2 linked regions of the Oreochromis niloticus genome follow. The protein of the gene in region 2 purifies or fractionates together with the protein of the main gene of each other region. This does not show direct contact. Links are inferred from orthologs where the notes say so. Each region holds a gene or a part of one and is shown on either strand. Other genes may lie near its edges. The genes, in order: cdk19 and med20.

What was found.
Region 1: the proteins of med20 (region 2) and cdk19 purify together in Homo sapiens (affinity purification with mass spectrometry; 5 studies listed by BioGRID and IntAct, counting the BioPlex papers as one, with this or other methods). This does not show direct contact. The link is inferred for Oreochromis niloticus from reciprocal best matches to the Homo sapiens genes MED20 and CDK19.

The regions. Positions count from the first base shown.
Region 1 is NC_031980.2:31,092,959-31,103,850, reverse strand, and holds the start of cdk19 (cyclin-dependent kinase 19), read right to left. Parts: upstream 4,995-10,892; 5' UTR 3,970-4,994; intron 3,882-3,969; 5' UTR 2,968-3,881; coding exon 2,840-2,967; intron 1-2,839. Other genes in the region: amd1 (S-adenosylmethionine decarboxylase proenzyme), read left to right, coding at 5,361-5,470, 8,961-9,047, 9,504-9,630, 9,744-9,846, 10,709-10,751.
Region 2 is NC_031970.2:21,833,999-21,844,294, reverse strand, and holds med20 (mediator of RNA polymerase II transcription subunit 20), read right to left. Parts: upstream 4,975-10,296; 5' UTR 4,826-4,974; coding exon 4,812-4,825; intron 4,602-4,811; coding exon 4,456-4,601; intron 4,425-4,455; exon of another isoform or gene 3,452-4,424; intron 3,096-3,451; exon of another isoform or gene 3,063-3,095; coding exon 2,809-3,062; intron 2,711-2,808; coding exon 2,489-2,710; 3' UTR 2,293-2,488; downstream 1-2,292. Other genes in the region: bysl (bystin), read left to right, coding at 5,198-5,462, 6,627-6,777, 8,527-8,665, 8,875-9,008, 9,102-9,262. UniProt on the Homo sapiens protein: Component of the Mediator complex, a coactivator involved in the regulated transcription of nearly all RNA polymerase II-dependent genes.

The sequences.
Region 1 (10,892 bases), on a different chromosome or scaffold from region 2:
TGATTATCATTTTTGCCATAATCGAGCAGCCCTACGTGTACCACATAAAATCGGTTCCAGGTCAGTAAGCACAACCAGAATTCATACATAAGGCGCACCGGATTATAAGGCACACTGTCGATTTTTGAGAAAATTAAAGGATTTTAAGTGCGCCATATATTGCAGAAAATACGGTAAAGCTATGGTCAGTAGCTTTGAAAAGATCGACAACATGTTTGGGTGTTTTAGTTAAATCACAATTTCACTTTGTTAGTGAAACACTAGTGAAGCACTAGCCATCACATGGCTAGTGCTCTAATGACATAAATACCAACAGCAAAGGTAATTCAGGTAATAAACATCTCTTCCTTCTTGGAACCCACATATGCAGGGATGACCTGCAGTAGACAATAATGAAGAATAATAAAAATCCAGAATATTTCAGCCAAGTTACTTTATTTCTTCTATAATTTCATACTCACACACCACATAATCTATATTACCACTGAAAGAGCCATTTATGCCAAACCTTAAATCCCCTCTCAGATATCACCACTACAAAAAAGACAGACCATAAACTGACTGTGCTCCCCTTTTGACCTTGCATCACACCTCTATTATCCTGCCCATGTGAAAGAGAACACAACAAGATACTCCCTGCAGCCTTGACTCAACTTTTACAATTCAGCATGTTAATGACAAATTGCAATGAGTTTATAGTTTGGAAAGCACTAATGCCCCCTTAGTTTTTCATGAACTCGGCCCACTAACTAATGCAAAAGCAGTGGTTAATTGTCTACTTTATGTTACTCCATACATACTATTGGCCAAACTAGAGTCAAGTAGCTTAACATTGCTTTTAGACTCACTTTGTTTAAATCCAACATATCTACACTGCTGATAAAGTTACAATATTGCAATATTAACAAACACAGTGAGGAAGAAACAGTCCGACTGATCTACAAACCTGAACTGTTTCAGATTTTAAAGACACTGTGTGATTGTAAAAGTTTTTAATACATTAATTCTCAAAGTAAATGAAGATGAAAAGGCCTTCTTTAACAGCTTGGGTCAATTTTAATTTGATTCTATTACAAAGATTTTAAAATGTTAATAATAATTTTATTATTTGAGTTGTCTATAGAGGTTGTGGCCACATTAGCATTATCATAGCAATACAGACAAAACTTTGAAAGAAATAAAGCTAATAAAGCTTTAACTTTATTTCATGTTTTTTAATCTCTTTGGAAAAATACAAAACATATTCAAAATACAAGTGCATGGAGGTGCAGACATTTTATAACCATAGCTATACAAACATGAACAAAAAACAACTGTTACACGTGTATTCTTAACCAGTTATGAATATTGACTTGATAATGGTTATTATCAATGTGGAAAAGCTAGATGTTCCCTGTGACATTCCTTTTAGGTTGGATCTAATTGGAGTGATACTGTTCCTACTGGTAATAAAACAGTGCTTTGCTTTGCTATAACAACACTGACAATTCAATTCCATTCCATTTTATGTATATAGCGCCAAATCACAACATCAGTCACCCCAAGATGTTTTATATTGTAAGATTAAAGACCCCACAGTAATATAGAAAAAACACCCAACAATCAAATGACCCCCTTTGAGCAAAAAGTGGGAAGAAAAAACTCCCTTTTAACAGGAAGAAACCAGAACCAGGCTCAGGGAGAGACAGCCATCTGCCATGACTGGAAAAAACAATATTTATTTACATATTTACTTTTTTCTTCTTACACCGGATTGTATATTTGTACATTTTTATACATTTTTTTTCTGTTAATACTGTTCATATGTATATAGTGCTGCAGAACTGTGCCCCCCCCCATCACACACACACACACACATGTTTGGACTGAGTTACAGATGCTCTTTATCTCACTGTACAACTGTATAGTGACAATAAAGGCATTATTCTACTCTATTCTATTCTAAAACGAGTATTACATGGGAAGAAGTCAAATTGGGCCATCTGTATAATAAGTTCATCTAATGCTTAAAATTAGTTTTTCCATCTCAGATTTCGAGAAAACTTTATGACAAAGCATTTGTAAGACGGGGGCAGCAAAATCAGCTCTTAATGCACTGTGCCCTTGGTTAACGGTGCTTTTCTTGAATGTAATTTTTAGATCAGAGTGATTAACCACTTGGCTATCGTACAAATGAAACTTGTAGTATTCAAATAGGATGCGCACTGGCCGGATTTTGCCAGTTTTTTGGACTGGGATTTTGCCAGTTTGCATAAGGAACAGTGACACCGTTGGCACAGCAGAGCAGAAATGTGAGAACGTATCTGTCCTGCTTTCTGTTGCTGATATATACATCGTGGTCACACGCTGTCATATGCTTGTCAGTGAGTGTAAGCAGCAAATGACAGAAAGAAAACAATGTGTGTCAGAAAGAGGGAGAAAAAAAGTTTGGCATTCCACAATGCTGAAAGCGGGGCCAAGAAAAGACGCTGAGGTGTCACTATCGCGCGAAGTGACGATACCCGTGCATCAAAAAGCAAGCTACCTTTGCTGCGACCGCCAACAAGACACTTGTAAGAAAATAAACAGCACCGCGGCTTTACACTGTTGTTTGGGGGTGTTGGGGAGGAGGAGGAGGAAAGGGGGGAGCTGTGAGGTTGGGGACGGAGGAGGAGGTGGGGGGGACCGTTGGTGAGTGAGTGCGTTACATGAAAACAAAAACACAGAGACACGGGCTATCGCTTCGGGGAGCTTCAAATCGAACGCCCTGTTCATCACATAACCGAGGCGTGTGTTCACAAAATGCATCCCGCGGTCAGTTTTATGTCAGCATACACAATAACGTTCACGGTTATCTTACCCGTCTTTGCGCTTAGCTTTATAAACGTGCCCGTAGGTGCCTCGACCCACTTTGCAACCTTCATATTCGAACAGATCTTCTACTCTCTCTCTCTCGGCCGCCAGCTTTGTTTTGAAGTCGTAATCCATTTTAACCCATAAATACGCCTTAATTTACAATAAAATAAAATATTAATTATAACATGCATTAATTAAATAATCTGGTCGTTTTATTCCCCCACCATTTCCTTGTTTGGGATTTTGGTCTGCTCCGCTTAATGTTCACTGGCTCGTTGACGTTTCTAATTGGCGCGCGTGGCTCGCTGGGTATGGTAGTTCTTGTGAGCAGGCGCCGCAGTTCGCCGCGTTGTCAGGCAAGCTATGGCAAACTACAACCCGCGTTTCTCGCTGCTGTTTGTTGCACTTTGCGTACTCATGAAAGCTCTTCAAAAATGCGGCCGTCGGTGGTTTGAGGTTACCTTTTTTTAACGTCACGTAAAATGTAAATGAGCTAAACGGATCCTCGTTGGCTGGATTATTATTATTATTTAATGGTCGTAATAATAATGGTATTGCAAAAGCCGAACAAATGTGTATTTATGCAGTGTATTTATTTAATATAGTTAGAGTGACCACTTCCCACCAAACTAAATGTGATCCGAAGGGTATGGGATCTATTACAAATTGTTTAAAGATATCAAGTGCTATGTGTAACCTAAGAATATTTGCAAACATCCTGGGTGTTTTGGGGGTTGTTTTTTCGGGGGATAATATGAGTTTTCCAACTTCTTAACTGTTATTTTAGCTGCTGTTTTTTCTGATAAGCATCTAAGGGTTTAAGAGGTCGCTGCATCTCTTTTTAAGACACAATTTTTGTCACAATCTGGTTGTAGAACTCAGGGGCAGAGCGGTTTGACGTCTCCAAAAACAGTTTATTTACAGCACCAGTGCACAATATATACAGTGAAGGGAATCCAAAACTCCAGGGAATCACAGGGTAGCTCTCTCACGTCTTCTTGCCCACACTCACACGGCAGGGAGGTCACAGGTCCGAGGAGGAAGGTCTGAAGCAGAAGAGAAGGGAAGTCACAAACTAATCACGAATCTCAAATTATTAAGCACAGGTTCACAGGAGCTGTGAGAAACACTAACGTCTGTAGTACAATCATCCAGCGACGAGAGAATCTGTGTTCCAGCCTCAAATAGTGCTCCCGGTGATGACAGGTGATTGTTGTCAGGTGTGTGGGCCAAGGGCGGGAGCCCACAGTGAGCTCCGCCCAGTCAGAGAGGGAGAGAGAGAGAGAGAGAGAGAGAACTTGTAGCCTTGTGGGGCCGGTCGGGCAGGCACGGAGACCATGACAGTTTTCTTTTGAGATTCAGATTGATTTTTTACTTTTGTGAACTACAGTCAGCCAAAAAGAAGAAAAAGAAGAAAATTGTTTAGTGCAGTTACAGCGGTAAAGATATGAAATGTCTTCCATAAATACAGGTTATGAAAAAACAAAACATCATGATGGAAGACCCTTGCCTTCTATAATAATCGATAGGTTTTTGACATGCACACACACCTGTATATGCAGATGTAGTGATGTCATGTCATATGTATGTGATTCATACTTAATTACTGTAATTATATTGGGTGACAATTGTATGTGTGAGTTCCCACTGCCCTGAATACTATGAGATGAGACAAGTAAGTCCTGTAACACATACAGTAGATATTTATTATCCTTTGGGATTTCTTTCACCTATTTTCCTTCTATGAGTACACTCTTTTGCTAAAATGAATACCTGCGCAGTCCAGTTTAGTTCAATCCAATTTAACAACTTGGTCATATTCTCATTTAAGTGGTTTATATTTGATATTCGCAGTTTAACATTAGTATTATAGTACCATTAAGTGAAAAAACAAATTACACATCTTAAAAAAGAGAGAGCGTACAAACGAAACATTAATGTGATAAGTAAACACAATGGCATGTGTTAGAAAAAAACGCAGTTACGTAATCGTCGTGAACAGAAGAAAACTTGTCAGAAAAGGACTTTTACACGAACATGCCGTCAACTGTCATACTCGCCTTCGTAAACTTAAATTCAGATATCATGTAATGTTATTGACGTTGCTGTTTATATATATAATTAGTATTTATTTCCAGAGGAAAGCTACATGCAGGCGGAAAAGTTTCATGGCGGAAGACCCGCCTTCTATTATAATTGATAGGTTTCTGACCAATCACAAATCCCAAGATATGGCTTTGCGTTCAGATTGGCTCGAGGTGAGGCTTACGTAGGGCTACTGCCAAATAAAAGCACCGCGCGGTCTCCATTCAGCGCTTACACAGTATGGCCGGCGATATTAGCTAGCGCTCGCTAACGGTATTCTCTGCTAAAGGGAAGACGGTAACTCAAGCAAATCAACTCCTGGATTGTTTAAAGGACTGAACCTCACTAAATAATAACAGGTCGAGGAAGGAGTAATTAAGCTGTAAACGTTTTAAACGACGTTGTAATATTTTTGGTTGTTGGGTGTCTGTTGTCTCACGATGGAAGATAACGGTGCACATTTCTTCGAGGGGACCGAGAAGCTGTTGGAGGTGTGGTTCTCTCGGCAGGATGAGACCAAAGGAAACGGAGACCTCCGTACCATCCCAAGGTTCGTGTCACTTGAGTATCTCCGAGGCAGTGTCAGTCCACAGCAGCGTATTGGTACATTGACAGAAACACCGGCTACATGCACGGCTTCAGTTGTCACTTTTTGTGATGTATAACAACTTGAATATCGTACACGTCCCGTTTCCGTTGACACTGTATTCATTATAGTTATTAATCCACCCCTGGATAGACTGCAAGCATTGAAGTGAACCAAATCTAACCGTGGCTCCTTAAGCTAGGGAGCTAGCTAACGTCGCCATTGGAAAATGGCCACCTCCCCCTTTTAACAGTGGCTGAGTCATTCATTCTTCACCCTGGGAGCTTGCGGTAATTAATATATTCGGCTCCCATCGCTTGTTTTTGCAAGTTGATTTGTCGCATGAGGCTTGGACGCCACCATGGCAACCAGTTTAGAGCTACCGCAAGCTAGTCCCTAGGAAAAAATATTCAAATTGTCAGCCGTCTCCTGATTTCGCCGACGCTGTGCAGACTGCTTGTGATTTAGTGAAGAGGCGATCATATTGTCGTTATTTGCCAATTCGCGTTCACTGCTACATATATATATTCGTGCTCTTATGCACTAAATTGCTTGGTCTTTGTAATTACATATGCTTTATTTTTTCCTGCGTCACTCTACAACGAGGGGGGCATGTGAGACATGTGGTCGTCCGTTGTCACCGCGTGTTGCCTTGTTGGCACGGAAATAGATTCAAGTATTCCAATTCCACCTTTAATTTAAAAAAAAAAATAAATTCTTTACTTTTGAAGGCTCATAAGTGATTGGGGAAAACCGTGAACCCGTCCCTCTGCCCTTGTGGATACTACAGGCTGGCCCCATGTCTGTTACCGCTGTGCGTTTAACCAGAGAGAAACTGCGTATGGTCGTGTTCCGGTCACGTTTTCGGCCATGCGGTGCGCTCGCTCCCAGTTGCTCTGATTGGTTAGAGGGTTCCCTGTTACGTTGTGCCGCGGGGCACTTGGTTACGTTTAAGGACAGGGGGTGGCGATAGATTCTGAAAAATCCATGTGGATTCAGTTCTTGTGAGAAATTCGGTTTTTGCTTGCTAGGAAAATTAGCTGATTTGAAATGCACGTTTTAAACAACCTTTAACGAGGAGAAACCCTTACAGGCAGACTTGTACCGTGTGTCGTAATCAATTTTTTGTTTCCAAGACTTTAGAGGAACTTGTCCCAGTAAAACTAATAGATTGTTTAAAATCGCCTGGGTTATGTCACCTATAGAGGTAAGAATGGTACTGATTCTTTAATGTAAGTGAAAGTGTCAATGGTGTCTGTTGCCTTTGCTTAGTGTGGTGTTTTTTTTGTTTTTTGTTTTTTTTTCCCCCTCTGGCAGCATGTCATTTCATGACTGGTTCAAGGGGGCCAAATCATCCCCAGCGATGGGTGACTTTTTCTGGTCGTTAACCACATCAGGGGCTGGTTTATGACAAGTGTGTAACCATTGGCGTGAAGGAGAGCTGGCATTAATTTACAGCCAGAGGGCAGATTAACGGCTCAAAGGGACACTGTCAGTGGATCAGACTCGATGGACGTTAGCCAATGTCCAAATAAGACCACAAGGGCATCGGATTCACAAATGTGAAGCTCGCTCGCTCACGTTACCTCTGCTGCCCCTTGTCAGGGTTCAGACTGCATATGAAACACTTCCAGTGATTGTAGGAGTGACTAGTTCATAAAGTCACAGCATATTCACCTCTAAACACCTGAAATGCAGTGTTCCCGGTGTTCAAGCCATCCAGTAAGTGACCACTTTTCTGTCTGATAAGCAGCAATTGTTCCAACATGTGCCGTCTTGATCAGCCATGTGTTCATAATCTCTGGGATACATGAAAATTCTGATCGTGTTTGGCACTTTGCTTTCTTTGAGGAAAATATTGTCTTGTTGCACAGCTAGAAATAACCTCTGGTGTCGATTTCACACCGAGGCAGGAGCTGACACAGCTTGCCAATGCTTGGCCTCTGGTATGAAGCTGGGAAGTAGGCATGTCGTAACAGCTCTGTCATGTTGCGGGAAGTGATCGAGCTGAACTGTATCCAGACATACCTGTAATGCCTTTGTTCATCTTCCAAATACACTGTTGACATTGCAAATGATATAAATATGATTAAGTAGAGTTTAGATGGCACTATATGCTCCCATTCTCATCAGGCTTGGCCTTGATGGCAAACTAAAGATGTTGAGTCTTTGCATTGAGGACAATGCCAAAGAGAAGCTTGTGTATAACAAAGCCATCTTAAAGGCACATCGCCTGCAGTTCCATATTTAGAGTAGCTTATAGCATGATTTAGAGTTCATATCATCTTGCTCCAATGTTGGTCCTCAGTGCAGGACCTTTGTCTTCTGAGACGTGCAGTTTGGAAATCCTTCACATCCTTTTATACAATTTTCTTATGCACAAACTAAAAACCAGATTTTTATATTGGTGGTGTTTTGGGCTCACACAGTATACAGAGCTGGAAGTTGAAAACTGATTACTTGTTCATGTGTTGACCTTATTTGAAACTTGATATTGGAGCACATTTGACTCAGTGATACCATACTGCCCCCCCCCCGGGAGGGGGGAGGAAGTGATGTACACAACAGATGACGTAAGCCTGTCACTCTCTGAGGACAATGTTGTTAAGGGATTAGATGAAGTGTTTGTGGCACTGGAAGGTAGTAAACATATTTGTAGTTTAGTTTCTTGGACCATTAGGCTCAAATGCAAAAGGCTGCAGTGTAAATTGTACTATTCTTGAATTTGGTGTCTTCAGAACCATGTCTGAGGGATGCATTGTTATTTGGTTATTTGTTTTTTTGTTTTTCCTCAGTCATCTAGTTCATTTGTAGATTGACAAGGTAGAAAGGAACATAATTGGGTCTTGCATTTTGCCCACAGCCTTCATGCATACTGCTGCAGTCTGGTTACTCAGGGGCATTTGTTTTTGAGAGGTTCTCTAGAAAAGCCAGTTTCATAAAGCATTCATTATTGAGCTGCTGGTATGCTTTCATCGAACACTTTACCTCTTGGAAGCTTTGCCTTGCAGCCCAGGCCCCCACTGTGAGTGGGTCTGGCTGTTCTTCCAAGGTTGTAATGTGACCCAGCTGTCTGGGTGGTGTTCGGGGGGCAGAGGCAGCTGCTAGAAGGTGTATGTCTGCTGTAGGAGCAGAATAAGTCCACATTTCCCTACAGCCATCTGCACATGACTGAAAACACATTTCAGTCTGAACAATACCTCCATTGATATGTCAGTATTGTATGCCCACAGCATACTCTAGCACTGAAATTGTTATATGCACTTACTTTTTCAGCGTAAAGACTACAGCAAGCTTCATAGACATTTCTCTTCAAAATCCTGAAAGCATTCCAAACTTGTCCATGTTACATAACCATCAACAGTTCTTTCGTGTAGTGGGTGCCACTTTAAAATGACCACAAAAGTGAACAACTTTGTCTTTGTATGCATTTAACTTGTTCTTTTTCTTTCAGGTTTGAGTGGGACAAACTTTTGGAAAATGTGCATTGTTTGATAATAAGTGTGACAAAGACCGACAAGCAGGAAGCTTATATACTCAGGTGAGTGCCTGCTCATACATGCAGAAAGTCTTCCCAAATAGACCTTAACCTAATTTCCATTAATGGCAGTCTCAGGTGCCAATATGGGCATGTACTCTACATGCCACATGCAGTCCTTAGATAAGTGTGTAGTTGTGTTAAGGTAGGGCAAGTATGGGCATGTCAGATAAAACTAACACGAAGCCTAAACTGAAACCAGTAAGCTACACTCATCTTGGGTAATCAAACAAGTATGACAAGTTGAATGGGAACTAGGGTGTGGCTTTTTTCCCTTCCTCCTTTTGCTCACCTGTCCTTTTTGTTTATAAAAAAGAGGGGGGGAAAGCCTTCACATGACCTTTTGTAGATATTACAAAGATACCAGGCTTACTTAATCATCATTCTGTATCATAGAATGTAATGAGGGAAACAATGCTCTGTGGTTATTGGTGACTAACTCCTTTCTTGTCTCTACAGTGAGAGTAGCATGTTTGTCTCCAAGAGACGTTTCATTTTGAAGACATGCGGAACCACCCTCTTGTTGCAAGCACTGGTGCCTCTGCTGGAACTCGCCAGGGAGTACTGTGGCTTCGACACCATTGAGGTTAGACTGGTTTAGCATTTGCATGACAAAGCTTATTTCATCTCAACCTGAACGAGCTGTATCAATGAAGCTGATTAGTTGCGCAGGTTTATTCATTAGTGTCTCGTTTGCAGAATTTCTTCTACTCCCGTAAGAACTTCATGAAACCAGCCCATCAAGAGTTCCCTCATCGAAACTTCCAGGAAGAAGTGGACTTCCTCAGCCAGATTTTTCCCAGTACGTGATACATGAAACTCTGAAATGTGTTACACACAAGTAAAGGGTGTTTGCAGCACAGTCTGTTAAATCCCCGATGGTCTGAATTTATAGCTGGAAAATGCCCAGGACAGTTCCTGGGTTATGGCTGCTCCTGGCAAACAATCTGCTAGTTGTTTAAACAAAAAGCTGGACTAGTTGACTAATATAAAAGACAGAACTCCTCAACCCCTACCCCCCACAAAAAATTGAAACCAAACACACTTTAAATGATGAAAGTGAAACTTTGACCAACAAACATTTCATGTGTTAGCTGTATTAAGCAATTAGCACATTCCTCATTGATCAAACATAACCTTAGCGGTGCTAGTAGCAGTAGGATTCTCCCACTCTAAGATTGACAACTTAGTTCTATAGTTTATTCTGACAACACCAACATGCAGCTTTTTAGCACAAAAGAACTACAGAGCAGCACTGCTTAACATAGCTGTCATCCATTTACCCTCATGAATAAAGTAACAACAGTTTGGCACTGACTAGCAGGGGCAGCGAACCTTTAAATATCCAATCATGAGACAGACCCTGATTCTGATTGATTACCTGGTGTATAAAAAAAACCCTAAGATTTGCATTAACCAATCATTTAAGAACATATGTTGAATGTTGCTTGTAATACTGACACAGTGGAGTGCATTGTTTATACTGTAGCTGTTCGGACAATGAAATTCAGTGTTATAACAGAATGTTGTAATTCTATGTAGCTTAATTTTATTGTTGTGGTGAATCCTGAAGAATTACTGTCACCATCTGGCTCCTCTTCAGAGCTGCCTAATGTTTTTGAATTGATTTCAAACGGTAACCATAATATTCCCTCCTTTTACAGATGGTGCAGCCTACTGTATGGGACGTTTGAACTCTGACTGCTGGTGAGCATTAAAATATGCCACACTGGCTTAATATGCTAATAGCTAAGATGGTCAAGATTTTCAGTCATGAAATTATAATCAAATACTTGTTTCTGGAGCAGCACTTGTCAGTGAATGTTGGTGTCTGTGACAACAAGATGC
Region 2 (10,296 bases):
TACCTCACCAGTACCAGCGCTGTGCTACATCACTTTCTTTTTTTAATCCATCTCTTTGTGTAAATGATCCACTACATTAAAATAATAATGAATAAAAATAATAATGGCAGCATCAACTTTCAGGTCAGCGCAACTGTTTTTTTAGTCGCATGCCACGCTTTTTGCAGCACGCTCCAAGTTAACCGCCTCAACTCCTGCATGTGATATTCACAAATGTTAGAATTTCTCCACTGTGTCTGTCCGTGTTTTAAAAAGGATGCCTTCTGGCTCAGACAGGCTGGCTCTTAACGCCATGCTAGGCTATCCCACCATCACCATGCTGAAGCCAGAACAAAGAGCAGCCAGAGAGCGACTCTCCAGGAACATCCAACAACTTTGTTGGTCCGAGACAGCCCAGCAGGCAGCAACTTAGCTGCCGCCGCTAACCGTTTTTATCCACGGCTGCTGTGCGTAGGGTTTGCACCGCTTGCCCCCCCACCTCCTCCCTCCCTTCCCTCTGCTGTGTCTCGCCTAATAACGCGCTGAGTTAAACACGGATTTATTCGCTTGGCTCCAAGCAGCTAACAATTTGCGTTATCTGCTCGCCACAGTTGCTAACGTTAGCTAAGCTGCTAACCTGTTTGTTGAGGACAATCGAAGTTAACCTAACGGCTGCCGTCGGTCGCTAACGTTAACGCTAGCAAACTGCGCCGTTAACCGTTAAAAAAAAAAAAAAACTACCCGGTGACATTCACCGCAGGAAGCCGGCTCCTGAAACGCGGCTCTCGGCCCTATCCGTGCCCCTCACTATATTTGCAACACCTGATAATGGTAAAGCTGGGTAACGTTACCATCGCCAGCATCCATCCATCCGGTGTACACTCAGAGAGCTGCTTGTTGTCCTCCTCACAGATTGAACAACCCAACTCTCGATCCGAGCACAGACCCCGCCGCTCTCATTGGACTGGGGCTGAGCGGGAGACGGGCTCTCATTGGCGGAAGGGCTGAACAACAGGCAGCAGGATGGACCGTCCGTCCGTCCACCCACAGCGGCCACATGGAACAATAACGGAGGCCAGAGTGGAAGCCGGGTTTAAGAGGACAGCCGCTACCCCTGATCCCCGGTGTCCCCGTTAAACCCCGTGCGCGCCATGTGTCAGCTCGGTAGGGTTAATCTGGTAAAATACACCTGAGGCGCGCGCGTGTAGTGTGCGTGTGTGTAGCTTTAAGCGCCCTATGAGACGCATCTCCTTTGGATGCTGTCGTGGGGAGGGACTACTTTCAAAATGCGTCAGCGCAAATCAGTGTAATTCAAGTTTAAACATAAAAAGAAAGCCGCTGCCTGGAAGAAATGTGCAGCATTCAGGGAGAGTTTGAAAGCTGAATAACATATCACAAGTCCTAAAAGAGAAGTCATGTCAGTTTTATCAGCTTTAATTACAGTTGTGGTTACGCTGGATATCCAGGATTTTTTCACATGAGATTAGGAGACGCATGGATAAAAATAACCATATTAACAATAGTAATTATCGTGATTTAGTAGGACACTTGAATTATATATTTTTTTTTAAATACAATTACCAATTACTGGTAATTTAATAGGACATTGTTCTGCATTTTTTACTTTTTTTTCCTGCTCTAACATAAGAGTCCACTCGATGCCAAGCATAAGTGAGATCTTCAGATTATTGTAGATAATGTAGTATGTAGTATCTATAAACAGAATTAAATTCTCAGGTTTTAGAAGCTAGATCCAGTCTTTTGGACATTTTAAACAATCCAACATAAACAATCTAACTTACTGTCACCCTAAGATACCTGCACAGATACTTCTTTGTAATCTAATAAAGCATTTCCACTGTAAAATCATTACACGTGTAAGGACAAGCCTCACTTGTTAGCCTCCACCTAATACTGGAACACTAATCCAACTGCATAAACCTTGGGATTGGACTGACTGTGAAATTCCTGGGCCTGTAGTCAACGTTTAGTTCATTCATTCCTGTCTTTCTGACAGAGAAAAACAAAGAAAACTTGATTGTTTGAAAAGAAAAATCTCTCACCTCCTTGTGACATCATCTTTAAACGTTAAGCCAGCGCAAAACTTAGATGATGCAACAGATAAAAATCGACCTCTCTCACCGATAAACGTCATCAGATCAGTTGACAGTCAACAGGGCCAGCGTTCAGCTGATAAATTGGTTCATCCCTGTGTAAACTAGCAAGAAATCAATGAATACTTCGTGTCTCTACTCTCAGATAAAAGTGCACCATCAAAAGGGCATCGCAGTATGAACGCTCAGAGACTCTGACTACTTGTTTTCACTGTGTCTCTTTATTGCAAATGCTTTCATCCAACGCTAACGTGAAGTTCTGCAATGATAATAAAACCCCAGACGTTCAAAAAAATAAAAAATGCCTGGGTACTAACGCTGATCCATAGGACCAGGAATATACCAACATCTGTACAAACATGGAGAGAAAAAAAACAGATATCTTTGTTGCAAACTCAGCGCACATTGCTTCCAGGGATTTGCAGCTTGCGCAGTTTGTTGAACAACTCCAGGTACTGAGTCATGGTGTCAACACAGTCTGCTGGTGCAAAGAGTCCCTCGGGCTTGGCAGCAAACACAGATGGCAGTTCAGGGACGCTGGGGCCGAGAAAGGACTGCATAAACTCCTTCATGAGGTTCCAGCAGTCCCCAGGAACGACACAAGGGCAGTACTCCACCTGAGGAAGCAAGCCAGGAGTTAGCGCCTCACGGAGAGAAAGCAGAAGGACGTGACTCGTCTTTATCACAGCATATATATATATATACACACACGCACCTCTACTGATATCCCTCTGGCACTGGAGCTCATCGTCACGGTACCAACTTTTATCAAGAAGTCGCAGTAGCGATACCTCGAACCACGAGACTCCACCTTGTGTCCCTTGGCATTCTGGAAGTGACTTTTCAGCTTCACCATGAGGACATCAAAATTTGCATCCGCTATTAGGCAGGGTCCACCTTCAAACAGAGCCAAGCAGCTCAGGGGGGTTTCGGAGTTGTGCATCACATACAGGAGCTTGGAGGGCTGACCTACAACGGACAGACAACACTTAAAACTGTCAGGTGAGATGAGGAAGGAAATGAAAGTTCCACAAAGTTAGAGAGGCAAGGCTGAGATTTGCACCTGAGGTTTTGACGTGTACAGTGAGGGATAGTAGATATATTGGGCAAAGGATGTTAAAGACAGAGGAGCTGCCAGGCAGGAGGAAAAGAGGAAGACCTCAGAAGAGATTTATGCATGTAGTGATGGAGGACATGTAGATGGTTGGTGTGACAGAAGAAGCTGCAAGGGTGAGATAGAGGCAGATGATCTGTGGTGACATCTAAAGGAAACAGCTAAAAGAGGAAGGAAAAAGACTTCTGGCCATATAGATATATAACTATTACTTATACTGATGATAATTGTTATTCTCCCACAGATAAATTCAAAAACTGTGGCGGAAAAGTAGCCAAAGACGCACAGGAGGAATCAGCGGTACTGAAGAGGACAGTAACCGTATGTCGATGGAACTCGTAGTAACATTTCTAAGGAGGTGCACATCAGAAGCATAAATTCCCAATAAAAGTGACTGCCTTACTGTTTTGGCCTAACTACAGCCAATCAAACTGGAAATTGAACCAGTACACCAGTACTTATATAGCTCGTTTTAATGTAGCTGAGTACTCAAAGCACTTCCTACTACAAGTCTCACACTCACATTCATACAGTGTTTTTGTCTATGCCTAAGTGTTTTCTAACACACAAACACACACACCCACAGATGGATGCATCAGGGGCAACTTAGGGTTCGGCATCTTGCCCATGGATACTTCAGGATGCAGACTGGAGGAGATGGGGATCTATGACGCTCTCTACCAGCTGAGCCACAGCTCGCGTGACAAAAAAAGTGACATTTCTGGGGGGGGGTTATATGTTATATGTTATCCTGCCTTTATTGTGCCTATATTATAGTCAATCTAGTCCTTACTATCTATCTAGTGCTTATCTAGTCCTTTATAGAATTTTGATGTTATATTTGTCACAATTTCTCTTGCCCTCTTTGCCAGATCTCTCTAGACTTTTTTTTTTTTATGTCAGTGACACTTTTAGCTGGATAAATAAGGGAAATATGAAAATCACTTTGCAAAAAAACAAGTTCTGCTTTGTGATAGAAATGTTCTTTCTGACTCAAAATGACTCAGTATCGTTCATGAGAGATCTGTTTGAGAGATTATAGGCCAATAAGTCATTTAAAACAGTTCAAATACCGGCAATCTTTTTTTCTTTGCAAACAATCACACGAAAAGGGGATAAAATACTCTGCAGCCCCACCTAGACAGGGACATCAGGTCAACCTGATGGGTGAGTGCAATACGTCTGCATTAATGTGATCTATAAATCTGAATTCTAAAGCTCAGAAACAAACAGATAAAAAAATATTACTGCTGGAATTTCCCGTGGCATGGTAAGTCTCGCAGTCCACGCAGAAGCTGCCTTGCTTCACGGCGCCCAGCTGCTCCAGCTTTTTGTGCAGCATGTCCACAGTCTGCTGCACGCTCTTCCCCTCCGCCACGGGCACCTGGCACACACTGAGGGGCACAGCAAGCAGAGGACTTGAGGGACCAGCATACACTTTGTTCCGTGTAACGTTACCAGCATTGCTGAATGAGACAGAGCCACGCCTCCGCGGATCAATGAGAAAAAAACACGCAGGGTGGTTGAGGCTGGGCCAAATCTGTTTGAATATTTAGTGGTTAAAAAACGTTTAAAATCAAACGTAGGTTTAAAAACCACCTTACCAAGTAACACCCATTGATGTTTTGCCTCTCTTCACTTGTAGTACGGTGTTTGAGCACTTCCGGGTTAAACAAAACGCCTTCCGGTACAGTAAAAGAAAACAACAGAAAAAATAAAAATAAAATAAAATATTATTTATAATAAAGAATGGTGAATATTAACACCATTTCACAATGAAACAGTCAACTGACTTTGCTGTACTTTTTTTCTGAAGTGGTCGCCGAAAGCTGGATGTTACGTGAGTGCGATGCGTCACTTCCTTCTTGCCGGACCTGCGCACGTGTTGAAGCAGTGACTGTTTACAGTGTTTGGTAAAGTCTGTCCTGTAGCTCGCACATGTCCACGGAAACATCCACACTGTGGTCACAGCTGAAGTAAAACCGCAGCGATGCCGAAAGTCAAACGGTCCAAAGGTGGAGGAGAGAAGAGCGGAGCCGCGCCGGTGGCGCTGGCCGACCAGATCCTGCAGGCGGACATTGTCCGAGCTAAAGGCCGGGTTAAGATCAGAGACACCCGGGAAGAAAGCGACGACAAGTACGTGGACGAGCGGTTGTCACGGAAAATCTTACAACAAGCCCGCATTCAACAAGAGGAACTTCAGACCGAATATGGGCTGGCACCAGAGAAGAAGAAAGCACCAGTCACTGTTCTCGGTAATGTTGGATTGGTGTTGTAGTTATCCTTAAATTGGCAGATATTTGAATGGAGTCTGGCGAGTGAAGTGCTAACACCATGGGGAGATCAAAAGTCAGTTGGCTTTGACACACATCGCATTTGTTCAATGTTTTCTGACTAGATTAGGTAGCTGTAATCAACGTAGTTTGATGTTTTCTACTTACGCTTTTGGTCATCAAAAGGAGACAAATCAATTAAAAAGTTTTCTTCTTTTGTTTATATACCTATATTTGTCCTTAACTTTCATAATCAACAACATTCCACAGCACAGATCTTTTCATGAGAAAAAACTAATACTAGCTCTGACTTGCAGCCTTGTTACTATACATATAAAATACACTCTCACAAGCACACTTTAAAACATAAAATATCATTAAATAGCATTTCTCTGGTCCTGGATATTTATTTGTAGCAGGTATGTCATAATCTATAAATAAAAGTAATATATCCATTCAGCCCTTATATCATGTGCAACCCTGTTACACTACTAATTTTTTTTTAGCCCTGATCATATCATTTTTAATAAAATTGTCATAAATGTTTTTATTAGCTCACAAGGGTTTGATCTGTTAATCTGCTGCCTTTGTAACTGCTTTAATTATTACATGAATAGTGTTATTTGAGCACAGATATAAATATGAATACTGAAATTACCAAAAAAAAGTACATATTGAAAATTTGGTAGGTTTTGAAAGTTGCTTAAATGAATAAAAATTGAGTGTTATCTGTTATCAAGTGTGAAAGATGCTCAAGAATTTATTAAACAATATTTTTTAATCTACTTTTTCGGGTTCTGAAGTATTGGCTGCAGAGATGCGTACAGAAACTAAAATATCATAAAAAGTTTATCTTTAATCCCTGATCTGGACATATTTAATATTTATTTTTTTCTTAAACACATATTATATTATAAAATAATAAGATATTTTTAAAGCCTGAATTGTCCTCCTATTGTTAAATGACCCAGGAGTTTTTCACACAAATACATAGTAGTGCAACACATGTTGAATCCATGTTACAGTGTAAAATCTTTCCTTGTGATTGTCTTTATCAAGAAACCTTACTTAACTAAAATATTTATACCTAAAACATTTCAGTGTGATCTTCTAATGAGCCATCTCCGTCTTGTAATCTTATTTTAGGGCCTGACTCTCAGGATGCTGACTCGGATGAAGAATGGCCGGCGCTGGGAGCAGCAGATCCTGCAGATGTTGAGTACGACACAGAAATCGTTGTTGACGCTGAAGATGAGAAGGCCATCGAGATGTTCATGAACAAAAACCCACCAGTGAGGTGAGCTACACCGTCGCTTTAACTTCAGGCGCTGCGAGCTCAGCAAATCCTTGGCTTTGTGTTTGTATTAATGCTGTGCAATAGTGGAAAGTTTGGTATCGGGTAGGGGTGGGCGGTATAAACGGTATACGGTAGAAACGATATGAATTTGGCCAACGGTAGAGATTTTGACTATACCGCTCTGCAGCGATAGCGCATGTTGATGGTTTCATCAAGCTGCGCCTGTTTTGGTCGAAAGCATCGCAGCGGCTGCAAGCAATGTCATCTGCAAATTGGGCGACAGTAATAGCGAAGAAATGAAGCACGTTTTGGAATATGAGGAAAGGCAAAAACTGCCCTTCCTCCACTTCCGTACCATTGATTCATTAATGTTGAATTCTCTCGCAGTTGCTCTATACCCATGTTGTTGCAGTATACTAATAACTAACCTCGTATTGTGGATGGATTATCTCAGTTGTTGTCCTGACTGAAGTTTGGTCCATTTACAGCATCCTGCCATGCATTTGTCCCTAACCGTCAGACCCTCACGTTAACTTTTATCGAGTGGAAAAAAGTTGGCGTTCATCCTCCAGCTTCACTGTTTATGTTATGCTAACATAGCTGTGTTGCTAGCGATCATGTAGCACATCATTATGCTTCAGTAACCCTACAAAAGTCACTGCTGTTTAGTTTTCTGTCTTCGCTTATGTTGGAAGTGATAGCAGAGCTGTACGTTTGAATTTTTTCAGAAACCTCTCTGTCAGAACATGCTATATCATGTTTAGGTGGAAACTAGCGAGCTTCCTTCCTTCCTAACTCCTAACTCTGCTCGGTTTTCATGGATGCCTGGATGTTAAACTTAATTGTTACACCTGGTAAAGAAGCAACGCTGATCATTTTATTAAAGATGAAAGAATTTAGACAGTTTTTAATGCTCAGTGATGTCGCAGCGTTCATTTGGCTTTGGGACCTGAAGCAGACGGAGTTTTGGACCCAGATTACTCCGCCAGGCTCCTGACTGCGGCAGCTGTAATGCTCCGAAAATCCATCAAGCGGTGCGGCTTCGTAGCTTACCAAAATCGTACTAAAACATTTTTGACAGATTTTTGAGCGCCGTGTTCCACATAAAATAGGTTTGAGGTCAGTAAGCACAACCAGAATTCATACATAAGACACACCGGATTATAAGGCGCACTGTCGATTTTTGAGAAAATTAAAGGATTTTAAGTTCGCCTTTATAGTGCGAAAATACGGAAGAAAAGAATATATCGCGATATATATTGTTATATATGGATTTTAGGCCATATCGCCCTAGTATCGAGCCAATACCAGCACTTTTAACCTATAAAGGAGTCGCCATCAATTTGCAAATTCTAAATATATTTTAATGACCGTTAAATCACTGGTTTCTTCTTTCCATAATAATTAGTTAAAACACCAAAGCACATCTTTTTAACTTTTCATTTAATTTGAAACTTGTTTATTATTTTTTTGTTTTTTAGAGCTGTAATGTTAATGTGGGTTTTTGGATCCAGTTCTCTTGTTGCAATCAACACAACAAGGTTCATAGTGCATGTTTGAAGCATAGTTTTTCATTTCCAAAACATAACTTATCCAACATAATTCAGTCGGCTACATAATGAACATGGAGGATAGAAACAAATTATCGATCATATTGTGCTGGTATTGATCTGATACCAATACCAGCACTGGTATCGATATTTGGATTGGTCGGCAAACCACTAGCTCGTTTCTTTGTGGCTCTTGCAGACGGACGTTAGCTGACATCATTATGGAGAAGATCACAGAGAAGCAGACAGAGGTGGGCACGGTGATGTCAGAGGTTTCTGGGTGTCCGATGCCACAGCTGGACCCAAGAATAACAGAAGTGTACAGAGGTGTCGGTAAGGTAAGTTTACTTCAAGCCCACCACACGTGAACTAATTGGGAGACGAACTAAAGGAAAATGGACACAGTAAGTGGAGAAGCCCACTGGCCTGGTTAGTCATGCATATCATATCGAGCAGAGGGGGAGTTTGTAGACACTGCTTGTATAGCAGGTGTGTTTTTGTTAATGGAGACGTGTTTAAAGTTGTCCTTTCTCTTCTTCTGCCTCAGGTTCTGTTGAAATACCGCAGCGGCAAACTGCCAAAGGCTTTTAAAATAATACCGGCGCTTTCAAACTGGGAGCAGGTTTTGTATTTGACTGACCCCGACTCCTGGTCCGCAGCTGCTATGTACCAGGCGACGAGGTAAACTTTGAGCTGATGCGCTTTGTGATGATCAATTTTCCGCAAGTTCTCTTAAGTGATATAATGAAGTATTTTTCCTTGTTCTTTTTAAAGGATATTCTCGTCCAATCTGAAAGAGCGAATGGCCCAGAGGTTTTACAACTTAGTGCTGCTACCTCGAGTACGGGATGATATTGCAGAATACAAGCGACTCAACTTTCACCTCTACAGCGCCCTGAAGAAGGCCCTGTTCAAACCGGGAGCATGGTTTAAAGGTGAGACTGAGGATTATAATAAATACTTAAGATTGAGAACAGACTGACAGAACTGAGTAAAAGTGTGTGTGTGGAAGTGATTACTGAAATATAGTAATCATAGTAATATAGAGTCATGTCTTTTCAAACTAAAGGATTTAAATACATTTATTTCCAGGTTCACAATGAATAAGATGTAAATGTAATGTTACTGTACATTCTAGGTGTTATATTTAAATGTAACAAACAAGCAGAACTAATTGGACCATTTCTAATGTCTTATAAATAAAGTGGACCATCCCAACCTTTCATACAAGATAATATTTTGAGCAAAAAGAACTGTGATGGGCAGGGAAAAAAAGAGGCTTCAAGGTAAAGGGGGAATCATGCATATAACACAAAATCTTAGATTGTACAAAGATCCTTTGACTAGCAGAAAAGAGATGTGATTCGTCTCCATACAAAAATCCCAAGTTTTACTTTCAGATTTACTTTGAGGCGTTCCTCATGGATCTTAAATGTGAGTATAGTGTCAAAGCAAAAGTGTTTCTAACAGCAATTTCAGTTTCATGAGCAGGAATGATTTGAATATGGAGCGTTAACTGCATACTCTTAGGTGATCTAATGAACAGTATGCACTTAGAAACAGACTGTAGCTTTGCAATGGCCAGCATCATACAGAGTATGGTCAGCCTGCACAGTTAGTATAAGTATTTGGACACTTGCACCACTACAGTGAGATCCTAAATCAAACACTGGAGACTTTCAGCTTTAATTCAAGGGGTTTAACCAGTAGGTTTTGTCTAAGGGAAAACCACTGGTGAGCCACATGTGTCTCAGCTGAAACACTGAAATGCATATTTTCAAAATGCTGTGTGTTCATATGACACACACATGTTCATAAACAGTATTCACATGAAAAGAGAAGGAGAGGCCATAAAAGTACATCTTTCCTTTTGTTACAGTGCTGTGATTGCAGCCATTCCTCAATTCCCCATGAATAGGACCCATGGCCTTTAATTAATGGTGATGACAATCTGCACATCAGTTATAAT